2 linked regions of the Anolis sagrei genome follow. The protein of the gene in region 1 interacts with the protein of each later gene in a biochemical or structural test. Links are inferred from orthologs where the notes say so. Each region holds a gene or a part of one and is shown in the gene's direction. Other genes may lie near its edges.

Region 1 (8,505 bases):
GAGTTAATTGAGAGTGTTATTTTCATGTGTATAAAGATAGCTACTGTGTGTTTAGCCATTTGCCATTGTGCGTTTATGCTATTGTGCATCTATGCCTCTGTGCCGTTCTGCTTTGTGTAAGCCGGGGACTATGCTGCAGATGTCCTGTGAAGACACAGCCATGAGAAGAGGACAAGGATTCCTGCTTATCTCAGCTGAGTAGTGATATCTCTCAGAAGATATTGTTTCATGTTACTTTTGTGGAAACAGTAATCCTGCTACTTTGTTTTTGTATGCTGCTAATACTACAATATTTTCTTTTCTACTTTAAGCCGAAGTCTCGTGTGTTTTTCTTTTATGAGTAATTTCATCACACACACAGTTAACTGGGCTACAGTCAGTCTGCATGCTACTCATGCTAACGCATGACATCTTTGATTTTTGTTGTGCCATTAACTATTGAATTGTTGTTTAATGAAATATATAAGAATTAAAGGGGCAATAGGCATTCCTGGGCTAACTTTTCCAATTCCATGGAATGTGTTCATATCTGCTTTCTTTTACTGGCTGCAGAGGAAAGATTTTGTTAGGGGGGGATTAATAAGGTTACTGTAGCACAATGAGCAATTCTCCAAGTCTCCAGGAAAGGTCATGGTCACTTTAAAAACCCACTTTTATTTAGGGATGCTGACATTTAAAAGTTCCCCAGAAAGACATTTTATGTCCTACATTTTTATAATCCCTTCCATCCTACTGTATGTGGTTTAACTTCTTCATAGATATGCTAGGACATTCAGGATATATTAACGTGGCTTTTAGAACATTTCACGTTTCTGTGAAAAACACTGAGTGTATATACATTTACCACCATTCAGAAATCCAATTAGATTACATAAACATTTTTAAATGTTGTAAAGACTTTTAAAAAAGCTTTTGAAAGCTACTTATGAATAGTGGCAAAATCTTAACAAATTCACACGTGACTTGATGGACCTTGAACAAAATCTGTTAAAGCTTTTCTGTGGACCCAATTATTTGTGAAGTACAGTATACAGTATTTTTAAAGAAGCTATAGAGAACAAATGAACATAATTTACCCAATGTCAAATTCTTGTAGGTTTGTTTTTATGGAGAGGGAAAGCACATGCAACATAAATGGGCCGGCAGAACATTGGATAAGCAAAAATGTTGAATAATGAAGGATTATGGAAAACCCTTTTAAACATAAAACTATGTTATGATTTCACAAATTAAGCACCAAAACATCGTGTTTTATAACAAATCAACAAAAAAGTAGTTCAATACATGGTAACGTTATGTAGTAATTACTGTATTTATGAATTTAGCACCAAAACATTGTAATGCATTGAAACATCTGTGGATCTGGGCAGGAGGCAGACTGCATTGGATAATACAAAACATTGGATGAGCAAAGATTGGATAAGCAAACCTCTACTATACCTGTATTAACTAGGCCTGGGTAACAACGGAAAAATTTGTTTCTAAAATCGATTTGTATTTGGGGTTTTTTTTTGTTTTGATATTTAAAATAATTACAAAATTTTCCCTTAAAAAAGTTCGATATTTACGAAATTTCGTAAATGTGAAAAAAATTACAAAACATTAACGAATCGATTTCCGAAACAATAACGAATCGATTCGTTAATGGCGGACGCGACCGCGAAATACGCTAAAAAACCTCCAAAAACTTCTGAAGCTTCCCTCTCCCTCTGTTGTTGACTGTTGGTGTGATATTATAATTTTTTTTCACTAATTAAACAAAAAACTTGCCCCAGACATGCGGAAATAATAACGAAACGACCTCAGAACAATAACGAAACGAATACAATAACGAAATACGAAGCATTTACAAAACGTGTTTAAAAATTTGTTTTTTTAAAAAATTGCTCCAGAATGGTTTGTTATCGTTTTGTAATTGAAAAAATTAACGAATTATTAACGAATTATGAATTAACGAAACAAAACCGCCCAGCCCTAGTATTAACATGCATAATGAGATATTTTGGAGATAGGGCTGAAATCTAAACACAAAATAAATAGCTGGAAGGCAATTTTATACAATACTTTAATAATTTCTGCATGAAACAGAGTTTGTATCCACTGAACCACCAGAAAGCAAAGGCTGCCCATGTAGACAAGATCATATTTTGGAATATTTTGATTTTCAGATTTCCAAATAAGGGATAATCAGCCTGTCATATGTACTATCATAAAAGAAGTGTAGAATTAGACTAGAATTCTGTAAACCAGGGTTCAGATCCCTTCTCATCTACAAAACTCCAGTGTGTGGCCTTGAGCAAGTCATACCATTTCATGCTCAGATGAAAGCAATGCCAGTTCTCCCCTCCAAAGAAATCTTACCAAGAGAATCTTATGATAGGTTTATTTAAGGATTGCCATAAATTGGAAATAAAGAAACAATATGTTGGCTTAGTAATAGCTGCAGCATGTTTCAGAATTTGGAACTATGTTTAGAAAGACAGGTTTGAATATAGTATCATTCACTCTGAAATATGTCTTTCTTCATTATCTTGACTGATGCTTCTTTGAGGTATATTTTGATAACTCTATCCATCTCTCAGTGTTTTGCATACAGAGTGGGGAGAGTAAAAAAGATTTCACCAACTGCTGTCACATCCCCCACAGAGTTCCTTTCATGCAAAGGCTTAGCTATCTTCTTTTATGAGAAGGGGAATGTTCTAGACATGTAACAAAAATCCCCAGATATGTATAAAGTGATGCCCATGACAAGAATAGGGAGTTTGTTACATTCAGCAAACAGAGTGCATGCTTACCTTGTTTGAACTTATCGCTAAGAAAGAGGGAGACAATACTATCACTAAATTACAGGCAAACTGTAATCATATCATTCATTTTCATGTGCATAACTGTTATATGTCCATGTGTGCTAGGCAAACATATAGAATATATAGGCAGTCCCCAAGTTACAAACAAGATAGGTTCTGTTGGTTTGTTCTTAAGTTGAATTTGTATTCAAGTCAGAACAGGTGAATTTTGTAACCCCAGCCATATACATTCATCTGTCTGTCTGTGTGTCTGTCTGTAAGCTTTGGATAGCATAGGGAAGGGTGAACATGCCTGTGGTATTTGTTTTGCTGTCTGTGCCCCTGTTTAGAAGATTTCACCTCACTTTCACCTATGAGAATTGGATTTTGGGGAAAAATGGCTTGTTTTAGAAACAAGGTTTGTTGATAGAGCTTCAGTGGAGACACCTTTTCCCCATGGTAATTCATTCAGGAGTAAGTTTCCCTTCTGAGGGGTAGATTTATCTCACTTCCTTTAGTGTCACGATGCCAAGGCTCTGCCGTTATTTCCAGCAGAGGTGAATCAAACAAACACCCAGTTTGTATTAAACAATTTTAATACTGCAAAACATGATACATGACATTTAGTCTCACAGAGGTGAGACTAAGGGCCCTTCCACACAACTATATAACCCAGAATGTCAAGGCAGAAAACCCCACAATATCTGATTTGTACTGGGATATCTGAATCCACACTGCCATGTATTCCAGTTCAAAGCAGAAAATGTAGGATTTTATTCAGCTGTGTGGAAGGGGCCTAACTATAAGTCATTTGTAAGTCAGATGTTTGTTACTTGGGGTCTGCCTGTACATGTTTCTGCTTCCTCCTTCTTCTATATTCCCTGCATTTAAGAACGTATGCCTATAGACAACATTCAAATGTTTAAGTTTCAGCACTATTGTTCTCCTCGGTTTTATCCATTTTTTTCTAAGGTTTGTAGTAAATAATAAATAGAATTATTTTACTTAGGTCCTGCTGTAGGGCCACTTATTAGAATATTACGTATACTGTGACATCAGGGTGGTAAATCTATAAGTTGTTTACTAGGCTGGCATGCTGAGTTTTTAATAAGTTGACGGGCAACTTGAAAGCTCATATACATACACATATTTAAAGAACAGATTAATTCTCAGATGAGTTGAGCTCTGTTGGTGTCTTCCTGGAAAGGACACTCTTCAATGTTATAAAATTGACTTAGGAATAGTGGCTCAACTAGCAATATATATACACACGCGCGCACACACATACTTTATTTTCATTATCCCTGTGGTAAATTACTGTGGCTGAAGAGTCTTTCTTATCTGGCAGAAGTATTAGTCACTGGACCCTGGGTCCTTCCATTTACAGTTTCAGTCCCTTCAAGGATGCTAAAAGAAGGGCAGAAATCCTAAACTCTGCTAAATGACTGAGGGGAAAAGCAAACTTTATGGTTTATCAACATTCCCTTTAAGAAGCTCCACATTTTGATGTAGTTTACAAGCCTGAATGTCAGGTCTGAACCGCAGAAAGCCATACTTCTACAAAGGAGATGGGGTGGTTTCTTGTGGTTTCTGTCTGAGCCATTGATTTTGTAAAGCTCTCTAAAAGCACATGACCTCTTAAACGTATCTTGTTTCTAGATGGCAGAATAATGGAATATGATTGGTCTCCAAGCACTTATTGCTGGTCTTTTTTCCCAGTGTCTGTGTCACTGTCATGCTCACACACTTTCCTTAGCTATTTTTGTGTCTGCCTCCTTTCCCTGGTGAAGAACCTCAGCTGTTGTCCTTCTGAAAAAATACCAATAGCAAAGCTGCCTCTGGCTGGCTCAATGAAGAATATAGAGACAGTGGCTACATTTCTGTACCTCTAAAGATCATGGAGAGAGAGTTCCCTGGAGAAGAAATTCAGCAGACCCTTGGTCTTCCCTGGGACACCGACAAGGTCACAGAGGATGAAGAGAAGCAGCTTTGTCAGTGAGTAATAATATATCATTTTGCAAAGCTCCTTCATCATTTCTGCACAATGATATAATCGGTTTGAGCTCTATGTGGAGGCATAGAAAAATGGCATTTGGCCCTTTGACATTCAATGCAACTGCTGATTTGTATAGCTAGAGGTAATATTGTTGTGCACCAGCAAATACTTCTGTTTCTATGCAGGATGTATGATATATATTAAGTGTGAAGAAAAGTAAAGTTGAGTACTGCTAATTCATGCACTTGTATTGCAGTATGATATGACTCTCTCTTATTTCCCCCCCCCCCCCCAACCTATCAGCATAAGCTATATGCCTTCATTATTAGTCCAGAGGCAACTTGAAGACAATATAAAATTGTTTTATATTGATGTGTAAGGGATACTGTCTGTACGTTTTAAATATCCAGGATAACCTAATGTCATGTAATGCCAAAGTGAAGCTGAACGGTCAGCAAATTGTCAGAGTAATAATATCGGAATGTCAACTTTCCTTACCTTTTAATTGCATTTTTTGAAAAGATTAAATGTTATTAAAATTCCAAAAATCAAGAGAAATAGCTGATCTGGCTTTCAAATGGGTTAAATATTGAAAATGGCACTGTATTTATTTGTTCTACAAATACACACACACACACACACACACACACACACACACACTGATGGGTTTTTTTTAACCACAGCAGTAGAAATGAATGAAAATAATTTAAATAAAAAACAAATTAATAAAGAGGATGTAAAATATTTGCTCCTCTCATTTTGCTAACTGTTCTATTCGCCATAACTGTGGCATCTTCTCTTTGTTGCCAGCAGAAGTATAATGACATAAGGCAGAAGAACTAATTAAATGACTAATAAACAGTTTTAGGTTATATTGAAAAATAGCGCCATTTTATTTATTTATCTGTTCTTATCAGTATGACTTCCATTTTAGAGGGGCAATGCTTTTTCTCCAGGTTTCAGTCCAGACTTTAAAACAGTTATCCAAATATTATTTTGATGATAGGCAGCAGCTCAGTTAGCTCCTTTAAAATCTCATTCAAAATCTGGAGTGGGTTCAGTGCACCACTGACATGGACAGTACTGCCAGCTACTCCTTTTTTTCCCCATGCTTCTTCCAAAAACTCAATGGTAGATCTGTCAAAAATTCCCCCCTTTTCACCTACATATCTCTGAATATTTGTAGTCCAGAAAAATAACATTTCCAAGCTTCAAAAAAGCAATATTCCTGGCTTTCCTCTAGCACATTCTGTTAGGGTTCCTTGTTGTTTATTCATTCAGTTGCTTCCATCTCTTTGTGATTTCATGGACCAGCCCATGCCAGAGCTCCCTGTTGCCCATCACCACCATCAGCTCCTTCAAAGTCAAGCCAGTCACTTCAAAGATACCACCCATCCCTCTTGCCCTTGGATGGCCCTCTTTCTTTTTCCTTCAATTTTCCCCAACATTATTGTCTTCTCTAAGCTTTCCTGTCTACTCATGATGTGGTCAAAGTACTTCATCTTTGTCTCTAATACCCTTTCCTCCAATGAGCAGCTGGGCTTTATTTACTGAAATGTGGACTGGTTGGATCTTCTGTCAGTCCAAGGCACCCTTAAGGAAGTGTGATTGGTCCAAAACCACACATTCTGGGATTTTTGTCACAGCACACCAATTTAAAACTGGCCCGTCTTCCTCTAAGCCAGGTATTCTGTCTGCAACACCATCATTTGCTGAGATAGCATAATATTCAGGTTTCTACCCTTTCCATTAAAGAACTTCAGTTGCACTGCTTTCCCTTATCTGCTCTTCTAGAATTGGTTTTTAAATGAATGCTACAACCATGACTTCATCCTTAACCTTTTTTCTCCACTTGTCAGGAGGCTTTTCCACAAAGCTCCTCAGAAGACAGCCTTTCCACAATGCCACCTAAGTTCACACTGCCTTTTGCATGCTGCTCTTGCCAGGCAGCAGATGCATAGCAAGAATGCAGAATATATTTTTAAGAGCTGTTTGCCACTTGTTCAGCAGTGCCAGCCATACTCAAGGAAGACACAAAGGCACCAAGGCTGGAAAAGAGACAAATTACAAGATCCCCTAGCTCATTTGTCCAGAACAGGGAACTTCTGTAAGTTTTGCTAAGGCAGCAGTTTCTTTGGTCTCCAAGGGTCCATCTCCATTGGCAAATTTCCCATTCTCTTGCAGTGTTTCTATACTTGTGCATATGCAGACTGAGGAAATTGTCTGATGATTGCTGTAAAGGGATCACTTGGCCATTTCAGCAATGGCTGCTCCTTGGTAGAACAGTGGATGTTTTTGTTTTTGTCATCATCATCATCATCATCATCATCATCATCATCATCATAATCATCATCAATTTACTGCCACTAATGTGCATGATGATTTACAAGTAAACCCTCCCCCCCTCCAAAAAAAAAAACAATGGACTTTGCCAAAAGTGTACATATAAAAGCAGCTCCCAAGTTATGAGCAAGATAGCTTCTGTAGGTTTGTTTTTATGTTGAATTTGTAAGTCAGAACAGGTACATTTTTAAAGTGTAACTCCAGTCAGATAAATAGGAGGATAGATAAGCTTTGCATAGTATAGGAAAGGATTAACACCCATGTGATATTTCTTTTCCTGTCCTTGACCCTGTTGAGAAGATTTCACCTCAATTTCTGTCCCTGTTATAATTAGGTTTTGAAAAATGGGGCTAGTTATGGAAACAAGGATTGGTGATAAAGCTTCAGTTGAGACACCTTTTCCCTCTAATAACTCTTTTAGGAGTGAATTCCCTTTCTGGGGGTAGATTTCTCTCATTACTGGTTGTCTCACCCCCGTTCTTAACTATGAGTCATTTGTAAGTCAGATGTTTGTAACTTGGGGACTGCCTATACACAGAAAGGGAAGGAATGAATAACAAAGCTAAAGCACTTCACAGCAGCTATCCAAGGTTCTGAATCCCCCCCCCCCCCCCGCACTCATCACCCTGGTTAGAAGATAGAACTAAAACTAATAGCAGTTTCAATGCCACCAAGTCCCTCTTGGCATTTTAATACTGTTCTTCCTAGATAACAGGGACTCTGAATTTCATGCCAGTCTCCCTGAAGTCTAGCCCGTATTCATCTGTTGGAGGTCCAAGATTTAAGTCTAGTTCGTGGGCTGGGGTTAGGACTTTTAGTTCTGCTTAAAACCTGGAACTCCACTGACATGGGAAGACCCACCATCCTTGAATATATCCCTTTGGCTGTAATAATCAGATATTTTAACAGCCTTCAGAATAGAATAGAATAGAATAGAATAGAACAGAATAGAATAGCTTTTCACTGTGTTTTATAATAAAATTTAATTTATATCCCACCCTATCTCCCTGGGGGACTCAGGATGGATTCCAACAAACAGAAAGGCAAATGTTCAATGCCTCAGTAGCAGTAAATACTGTACAAATATGAAAACACAAGATAACCCACATAAAGAGCAACTTAAGCATAATAACATCTATAATTTAAATAAAACATAATCAATTGAAAATGATAACTAACATAGAGCTTAAACATAAAACATCCGACTTAATATATCAAAACAACACGAAGGTTCACAGGTGTGTGCATAGACTGTATGGCCAAAGTTGTTAAACGGGCTAATGTGATCTAACAAGGCCAGGGTGCATTTATACTATTTATACTAGTCTGGTACTAGTTTGTCTTCATCTAATCCTGCTTCTCTCCATATGCTTGTGAGCA
Region 2 (8,228 bases), on another chromosome or scaffold:
CAGCGCTGATTGTGTTTAAGTACAAGCCAAGGTCTTTAGGCATTGCACCCAGTGTGCCGATCACCACTCCGACCACCTTTACTGGTTTCTGCCAGAGTCTTTGCTGTTCGATTTTTAAATCCCTATATCGTGTCAGCTTTTCCAGTTCACATCGATGATCCATACGTTGTTTTTTAACACTATTGTGAGGTCAGGAGTATTATGCTCCTAAACTCTCTTTCTGAATTCGGAAGTCCCAGAGGAGTTTGGCGTGTTCATTCTCTGTAACTCTTTCCGGCTTGTGATCCCACCACTTCTTTGTCGCAGGCAGATGGTATTTGTGATACAAGTTCCAATGAATCATCTGAGCAATGGTGTTGTGCCTCTGCTTGTAGTCTGTCTGTGCGATCTTCTTGCAGCAGCTGAGGATGTGATCTATTATTATCATTGTTGTTGTTGCTCTGCTTTTTCTCTGCCAAAAGGTCTCAAAGCAACAAACATAAATAGGATTAAGGCAGTTTGATGCTGCTTATTTCTATTGTTATTGTTATTATTTCTCTGCCAAAAGAGACACAAAAAAGCTCATTTTTGGAGGCTTTTAAACAGAGGCTGGATGGCCATCTCTGATGGTGCAGTGGGTTATGCCACTGAGCTGCTGAACTTGCTGACTGAAAGGTTGGCGGTTCGAATCTGGGGAGCGACGTGAGCTCCCGCTGTTAGCCCCAGCTTCTGCCAACCTAGCAGTTCAAAAACATGCAAATGTGAGTAGATCAAAAAGTAGCACTTTGGCGGGAAGGTAACAGCTCTCTATGCAGTCATGCTAGCCATATGAACGTGGAGGTGTCTATGGACAACGTCGGCTCTTCGGCTTGGAAATGGAGATGAGCATCACCGCCCTGAGTCAGACACGACTAGACTTAATGTCAGGGGAAACCTTTACTATTATAATATTTGCATTCCTTCAAGTCAAGTAAAACACAAGTAGCAGGCATAGATAAAAAAAATAAGAATTCAAAGCCATACAAAAATCATTAGTACTAATAAAAGTTAAGTTTTACAATTGCATCCCTTTATAAAAAGTGGCAGATGACTTTGGAAATTGTCTTTTGGGGTGTTTTTCAGGCTGTGGACAGTGGGATCTTATACGTTGCACTCGTTATTGTATTTATATCCACTCTTTCCCTTCCTCCAAAGTGACTCAAAGCAGTTTACAAAACACAGCACAACAAATAAATACAAAGGGTTGTTGTAGGTTTTTTCGGTCTGTTTGGCCATGGTCTAGAGGCATTCTCTCCTGATGTTTTGCCTGCATCTATGACAAGCATCCTCAGAGGTAGTGAGGTCTGTTGGAACTCAAATAAAATGCTGTATTTGAGAACACAGAAATGCTGGACCACTCTCACAACCACCATGTCAGACTACACAGAAGCCATTGAAATACACAAGCATGTGGACAATTTCAACAGAAAGGAGGAAACCATGAAAATGAACAAAATTTGGCTACCAGTATTAAAAAAAACTAAAATTGCAACAGCACAACAACAGAGTAAGCAGGCAGGGACATCTAATTACCTCTCAACAAAAGCTTGCTCCAGGCACAGTCAACAAAAGCTTGCTCCAGACACAGTCAGGCCATTGTATGCTACTCAAGGTGGTCAGTTGAAACATTCACACCTAGCTCCAGCAGACAAGAGTCCTTTGTCTCACCCTGGTGATTCCACAGATATATAAACCCTTTTTCCTAGTTCCAACAGACCTCACTACCTCTGAGGATGCTTGCCATAGATGCAGGCGAAACGTCAGGAGAGAATGCTTCTAGACTATGCCCATACAGCCCGAAAAAACGTACAACAACCCAGTGATTCCGGCCATGAAAGCCTTCGACAATACAATAAATACAAACCTGATTGGAAAACACCCACAAAGTTGTGATTAAAAATAACATTGAAACTCTGGAATGGTGGGGGGGAAAGCAAATAAAAGTAACCCCATCCTGAAAGCCTGCTGGAAGAAGAAAGCGGTGTTCTCCTGGAAGCAAACCTTGGAGGGATTTATAGTTCATTGTCAACAGTAAGTTGCATTGGACCAATTCTTGGATTCATGGGATGCAGATAACTGGAAGGGAGAACTAATGCTTCAGGAAACAGAGTCAGGATCCAGAACGCTATGAAACATGTTTTCCCGGGTTATAAATGTCATTTCCTAATTGGTTATATCCTAAAATCATGGAAAAAATGTATTAAACTGCAAAAACTTGGTTGCGGAAGGGACATCCTGCAGAAAAATGTTCCGTCCCCAGTTTGAAAGTGGGACTTCCTGTTTAATTGTGTGGTCCTTACTTGGAAAGGAGTTGATCTACTCTTTTCCAAGTAAAAGTTTGTTTTTGTGTGCTTCAGACTATCTTGGCTCGGTTGAGACTCAATGAGAGATTCATGGAAAAACGAGAGCCAAATGTACTGCGGGATGTCTTGCAAAAACAAACCTTTTGCTATTTAATAAACTTTTCCCATGTTTTTATGATAGAACCAGTTAGGAAATGACATTGATAACCCAGAAACACAAATCCCTCTTTAACTATTCCATTGCCTGCTTCCTTCCTTCATTCCTTTCTACAAATAAAGTTTTACTACAAATGTTTTATTTCCTCATTCTCTTTCCTTCTTTCTTTCCATCCTTCTTTCTTGCTTTCTTTCTTTTTTTCCTTCCTTCTTTGCTTCCTTTCGCTTTCTTTTATTATCATTCCCTCACTCTTTCCTTCCTTGCTGCTTTCCTTCTTTCCTTCTTTCTTGCCTTCCTTTCTTTGCTTCTTTCTTTTTTTCCTCCCTTCCTCCCATCTTTCTTTCCTATTTTTTCCTTCCTTTCACTTTCTTTCTTTCCTTTATTATCATTCCCTCACTCCTTCCTTCCTTTTTTTCTTCCTTCCTGCCTTCCTGCTTTTTTTTCCCTCCTCCTTACCATCTTTCTCTCCTTTTTTCTTTCTTCCTTCCTTCCTTCCTTTCCTTCTTTTCTTAATTCTTTCTTCCTTCTTTGCTTCCTTCTTTCTTTCCTTTTTTTGTTCCCTCCTTCTTTCATTCTTTCCTTCCTTTCTCCTTTCCTTCCTTCCTTCCTTCTTTGCTTCCTTCTTTCTTTCCTCCCTCCTTCCCATCTTTCTTTCCTGCTTTTTTCCTTCCTTCTTTCGCTTTCTTCCTTTCCTTTATTATCATTCCCTCACTCCTTCCTTCCTTTTTTCTTTCCTTCCTTCCTGCCTTCTTTCTTTCTTTCCCTCCTTCCCATCTTTCTTTCTTTTTTCCTTCCTTCTTTCTCTTTACTTCCTTCATTCCTTTCTTTCCTTCCTTCATTCTTTCTTCCTTCTTTGCTTCCTTCCTTATTTCCTTTTTTTGTTCCCTCCTTCTTTCATTCTTTCCTTCCTTCCTCCTTTCCTTCCTTCCTCCCTTCTTTGCTTCCTTCTTTCTTTCCTCCCTTCTTCCCATTTTTCTTTCTTTCCTGCTTTTTTCCTTCCTTCTTTCGCTTTCTTTCTTTCCTGCTTTTCTTCCTTTCATTTTCTTTCTTTCCTTTATTATCATTCCCTCACACTTTCCTTCCTTCTTTCTTTCCTTCCTTTCTTCTTTGCTTCCATCCTTTTTTCCTTCCTTCTATCTCTTTCCTGCCTTCTTTCTTTCCCTCCTTCTTCCAATCTTTCTTTCCTCTTTTTCCTTCCTTCCTTCTTTCTCTTTCCTTCCTTCCTTTCCTTCCTTTTTTCTTCCTTCTTTGCTTCCTTCCTTTATTCGTTCCCTCCTTCTTTCATTCTTTCCTTCCTTCCTTCTTTGCTTCCTTCTTTCTTTCCTCCCTTCTTCCCATCTTTCTTTCCTGCTTTTTTCCTTCCTTCCTTTCACTTTCTTTCTTTCCTTTATTATCATTCCCTCACTCTTTCCTTCCTTCTTTCTTTTCTTCCTTCCTGCCTTCTTTCTTTCTCTCCTTCCCATCTTTCTTTCCTTTCTTTCCTCCTTTCTATTTACTTCCTTCATTCCTTTCTTTCCTTCCTTCTTTCCTTTTTTTCGTTCCCCCTTCTTTCATTATTTCTTTCCTCCCTTCCTTCTTCCTTTCCTTCCATCTTTCTTTCCTCCCTCCCTTCCTTCCATGTCATAACCATTTAATATCAAGAGTCGTGTATCAAGAGGAGGGGTCTTTTTGGTTGGGAGTCCAGTGTGGTCCCCCCGCCCGGACAGAGGAGCTGGAGGCCGGCCCCTTTTGCCCTGCACTCCTCCTCCTTCTCCTCTTTCGCGTTCCCTTCTTCCTCCCTCCTTCCTTTCCTCCCTCCTTCCTTCCTGCCTGGGGCGGCCCTCTTGGGGACTCTTCGGCCGCCCCTCTGGACCATGAACCGTCGGAAAGGTAAAAGCGGAGTCACTTCGGTTTCAGGGAGGGGCTGTTTACACGGCAGCCCGAAAGTGAACTTTCCCCAACTTTCTCCTCCGAGTTCCTTAACCCTCTTCCTTTCTCCCTAATAGAGAGGCGTTTCTCTCTTTCCTTTGGACTCTTAACTATCAAGCTTTCAGGCAGAAGCCCAACCGGTGCAGCACTTCCTCCTTTTTCTTTAGAATCTACTCTAGTAGCTTCATGCAGACATTCAACAGGAGCAGCTCTTCTTTCTTTTCTTCTAAATGCATTGCTTAAAAAATACCTCTGAACATAGAATCTCTCCCATCCTTCTCCTCTTTATTCTTCAGGCCTGGCTCTAAAAGTATTTACTTGTTGAGCTTCAGGCAGAAGTTCAACAGGTCTAGCTCTTCCTTCTTTGCATTGCTTGTAAAGATCCTACAATCCCTCCCTTCCTCCTACCTGGGTTAGTGACAAGCCCTCAACGATGAATTGATTGATTTCAGGCTGAATCCCAACCGGTGCAGCACATCCTTCTTTTTGTTTACTAGTTGCATTCCTCGAAAATCCCATAGAGAGAGCATTGAAGCTCTCCCTTCTGGGTTTGTGCTTCTCTGTCCATCAGAGCTGGCCCTGAGCTCTTATTGAATTTCAGGCAGAAGCTCAACAGGTGCAAACTTTTCTTCTTTGCATTGCTTGAAAAAAGACCCTACAATCCTTCCCTTCCTCCTACCTGGGTTAGTGACAAGCCCTCAATGATGAATTAATTGATTTCAGGCTGAAGACCAACCGGTGTAGCACATCCTTCTTTTTGTTTACTAGTTGCATTCCTCGAAAGTCCCATAGATAGAGCATTGAAGCTCTCCCTTCTGGGTTTGTGCTTCTCTGTCCAACAGAGCTGGCCCTGAGCTCTTACTGAATTTCAGGCAGAAGCTCAACAGGTGCAAACTTTTCTTCTTTCTTTCTACACCACCTGAAATCCCAACAGAGCATAGAATCACTTCCTTTTTGTTGTTGTTGTTCCTTTCAGTTCTTCAGGACTGGCTCTGAACTATTAAACATTGAATCTCAGGCAGAAGTTCAACAGGTGCAGCACTTTCTACTTGCTTCATAGCTGGGATTCGCCATAGAGAAGAACTTTCTGAACTTTTCATGACATGCTTTTGTGGTATGCATCCTTCCGCGACACGGTCATTCTGTTTTACTAGCAAACCAAAGGGTTGGAGCCCTGGTGGCGCAGTGGGTTAAACCCCTGTGCCGGAAGGACTAAAGACCAACCAGTCGCAGGTTCAAATCCGGGGAGAGGAGGATGAGCTCCCTCTATCAGCTCCAGCTCCTCATACGGGGACATGAGAGAAGCCTCCCACAAGGATGATAAAAACATCAAATCATCCGGGCGTTCCCTGGGCAACGTCCTTGCCGACGGCCTATTCTCTCACACCAGAAGCGACTTGCAGTTTCTCAAGTCGCTCCTGACACGACAAAAAAACCCCCAAAAAACAAAACAAAACCAAAGGGTTAAACCAACCATTTATAATAATCATTATTATTATTTACTTTATTTGTATACCACCCCTCTCAGCCTTGCGGCGACTCGAGGCAGTTTACAGGGCAAAATTCAATGCCACAAAATACAAAAAATATATATATTAAAACATTAACATCAATAAAATCATAACAATAGCAGTAAAACATAAGTCAGTAAATCTCTATATAAATAAAAATGTAATGTTCATTTGTGGGATTAACATAACTCAAAAACCACTGGACGAATTGACACCAAATTTGGATACAAGACACCTATCAGGCCAACGAGTGACCATCACTCATAAAAACACCAAAAAACACTGCGACAAAACAACTACAACCCTAAAAGGCTGTTAGGAAGGCTGTTAGGAATTGTGGGAGTTGGAGTCCAAAACCCCTGGAGGGCCAAAGTCTGCCGCTACCTGGTCTACACCATTGAATTATTCCACAGCATTGAGCCATGGTAGTTAAAGGGGTCCCATAGGCCATCCAGCCCAACCACTTTTTACAGCAAAGGAAGACACCATCAAAGCCCTCCCAACAGATGGCCATCCAGTTGGAAAGGAGCCTCAAAGGCCATCCAGTCCAACCAGGCCCGCAGCCAGGATGTTGATTCAGGGGGAGCTGAGTTTGATTCGGGGGGAGGGGGGTGAGTCTGAGTGAAAGAGGGTCTACCCTAGCAAACCTTTTGTATCATTACCCCAATACCCCCATGCATATGGGATATATTGAGTATGGTGATCAGATCATGATATGAATAAACATAACAGTTTAAATAATGTACCAGTAAGGCCTTTTCGCAGACCACCATGAGAATTTGGGGGGGGGGGGGCTGAAGCCCCTCCCCCGGCTGCATGCCTGAGTCCAACCTCATTGGGCGGTAAAAGAAGACACAATCAACACCTACCCGACAGAAGGCCAACCAGTTGGAAGGGAGCCCAAAGGCCATCCAGTCCAACCCCCTTTGGCCCTTAAATATGTGTGTCTGTCTGTCTGACCATCCATCCATCTACCTACCTATCTATGTTCTATCTATCTACCTTCTTTTCCATCTATCAGTGTCCCTTCCATATGCCTCTTCTGTCTATTGTTTCATGCCTGAAATTCCTCTGTTTTCTGAGGGCCACAGCAACCTGTGGCAGGGGACGGCTAGTCTACACAAATAAAAATGTAATGTTCGTTTGTGGGATTAACATAACTCCAAAACCACTGGACGAATCGACACCAAATTTGGACACAAGACACCTCTCATGCCAATAAATGACAATCACTCATAAAACACTGAAAAACACAGCAGAAGTGACTTTAAATGCCACCCCCCCCCCAAAAAAATACATTACAATGCATGTGCGAAATCACATCTATACACAAACACACAAAAATAGACACAAACATACAAACATACATATATATACACACACAAAATACATATACACAGACTGGGCCACAGCAACGTGTGGCAGGGGACGGCTAGTCTATATAAATAAAAATGCAATGTTTGTTTGTGGGATTAACAGAACTCAAAAACCACTGGACAAATTGTCACCAAATTTGGACACAAGACACCTATCGAGCCAATGAGTGACCATCACTCATAAAAACACTGAAAAATACAGCGGAAGGGACTTAAAAAACAAAAAAAACCAAAAGACACTACAGCGCATGCGCAAAACGACTCCCCCTGGCAAACAAAACACACAACAGCATATCCACACTCTCTTCCAGACTACAGCTCCCAGCATCTTCTAGACCAGCATCCCTTTAGGAGAGGAGGAGGATCCAAATGCACTGCTTCCAAGCTGCAAGCTTTCTTTTCCTTGGATCTCTTTGAGAGCATCCCAATCCCTGCATATTTCCAATTTCCTATTCCTGGACTGCAACTCCCATCAATCCTCCAGATAGATAAGATAGCTAGGATAAAGATAGATTGGTAGGTAGATCAATCAGGAGGACTGCTGGGAGTTGCAGTCCAAGAATAGAGAAGGAAGAAAGAAAAGGGGGAAAGGAAGGGAAGAGGAAGAGAAGGAAGGAAGGAGAGAAGGAAAGAAAATAAGGAAAGGAAGGAGAGTAAGAAAGAAGGAGAGAAAGAGGGAGGGAAGGTTGGCCACAGCAACGTGTGGTGGGTACAGCTAGTATATATATACTCATGCATTCGGACACACAGTTTTGAAAGCTTTGCCATAGAACCACTTCCATCATTTTGGAAGCAGGAGAGCCCGACACAACTTTAATATTATGAACAACTTCTTTCCTGCCTTGGGTGTTTGCTTCCCTTTGGCCCCAACAAAAAAAGGATTTCTTCCAGGCGGAGCTCCTTCTTGTTTAGATCACAACTCCCAGAATCCCACCTCCTCAAAAAAAGTCAGTTG

The links. The genes of interacting proteins can lie anywhere in the genome.
Region 2: the proteins of FRMPD4 (region 1) and DLG3 interact in a test that uses a peptide from one of them, tested with the Homo sapiens proteins (2 studies listed by IntAct, with this or other methods). The link is inferred for Anolis sagrei from reciprocal best matches to the Homo sapiens genes FRMPD4 and DLG3.

Annotation. Positions count from the first base shown.
Region 1 is NC_090023.1:92,545,278-92,553,782, reverse strand, and holds the start of FRMPD4 (FERM and PDZ domain-containing protein 4), read left to right. Parts: upstream 1-4,617; 5' UTR 4,618-4,683; coding exon 4,684-4,781; intron 4,782-8,505. UniProt on the Homo sapiens protein: Positive regulator of dendritic spine morphogenesis and density. Required for the maintenance of excitatory synaptic transmission. Binds phosphatidylinositol 4,5-bisphosphate.
Region 2 is NC_090030.1:21,587,831-21,596,058, forward strand, and holds the start of DLG3 (disks large homolog 3), read left to right. Parts: upstream 1-4,242; 5' UTR 4,243-4,331; coding exon of another isoform or gene 4,332-4,347; intron 4,348-8,228. UniProt on the Homo sapiens protein: Required for learning most likely through its role in synaptic plasticity following NMDA receptor signaling.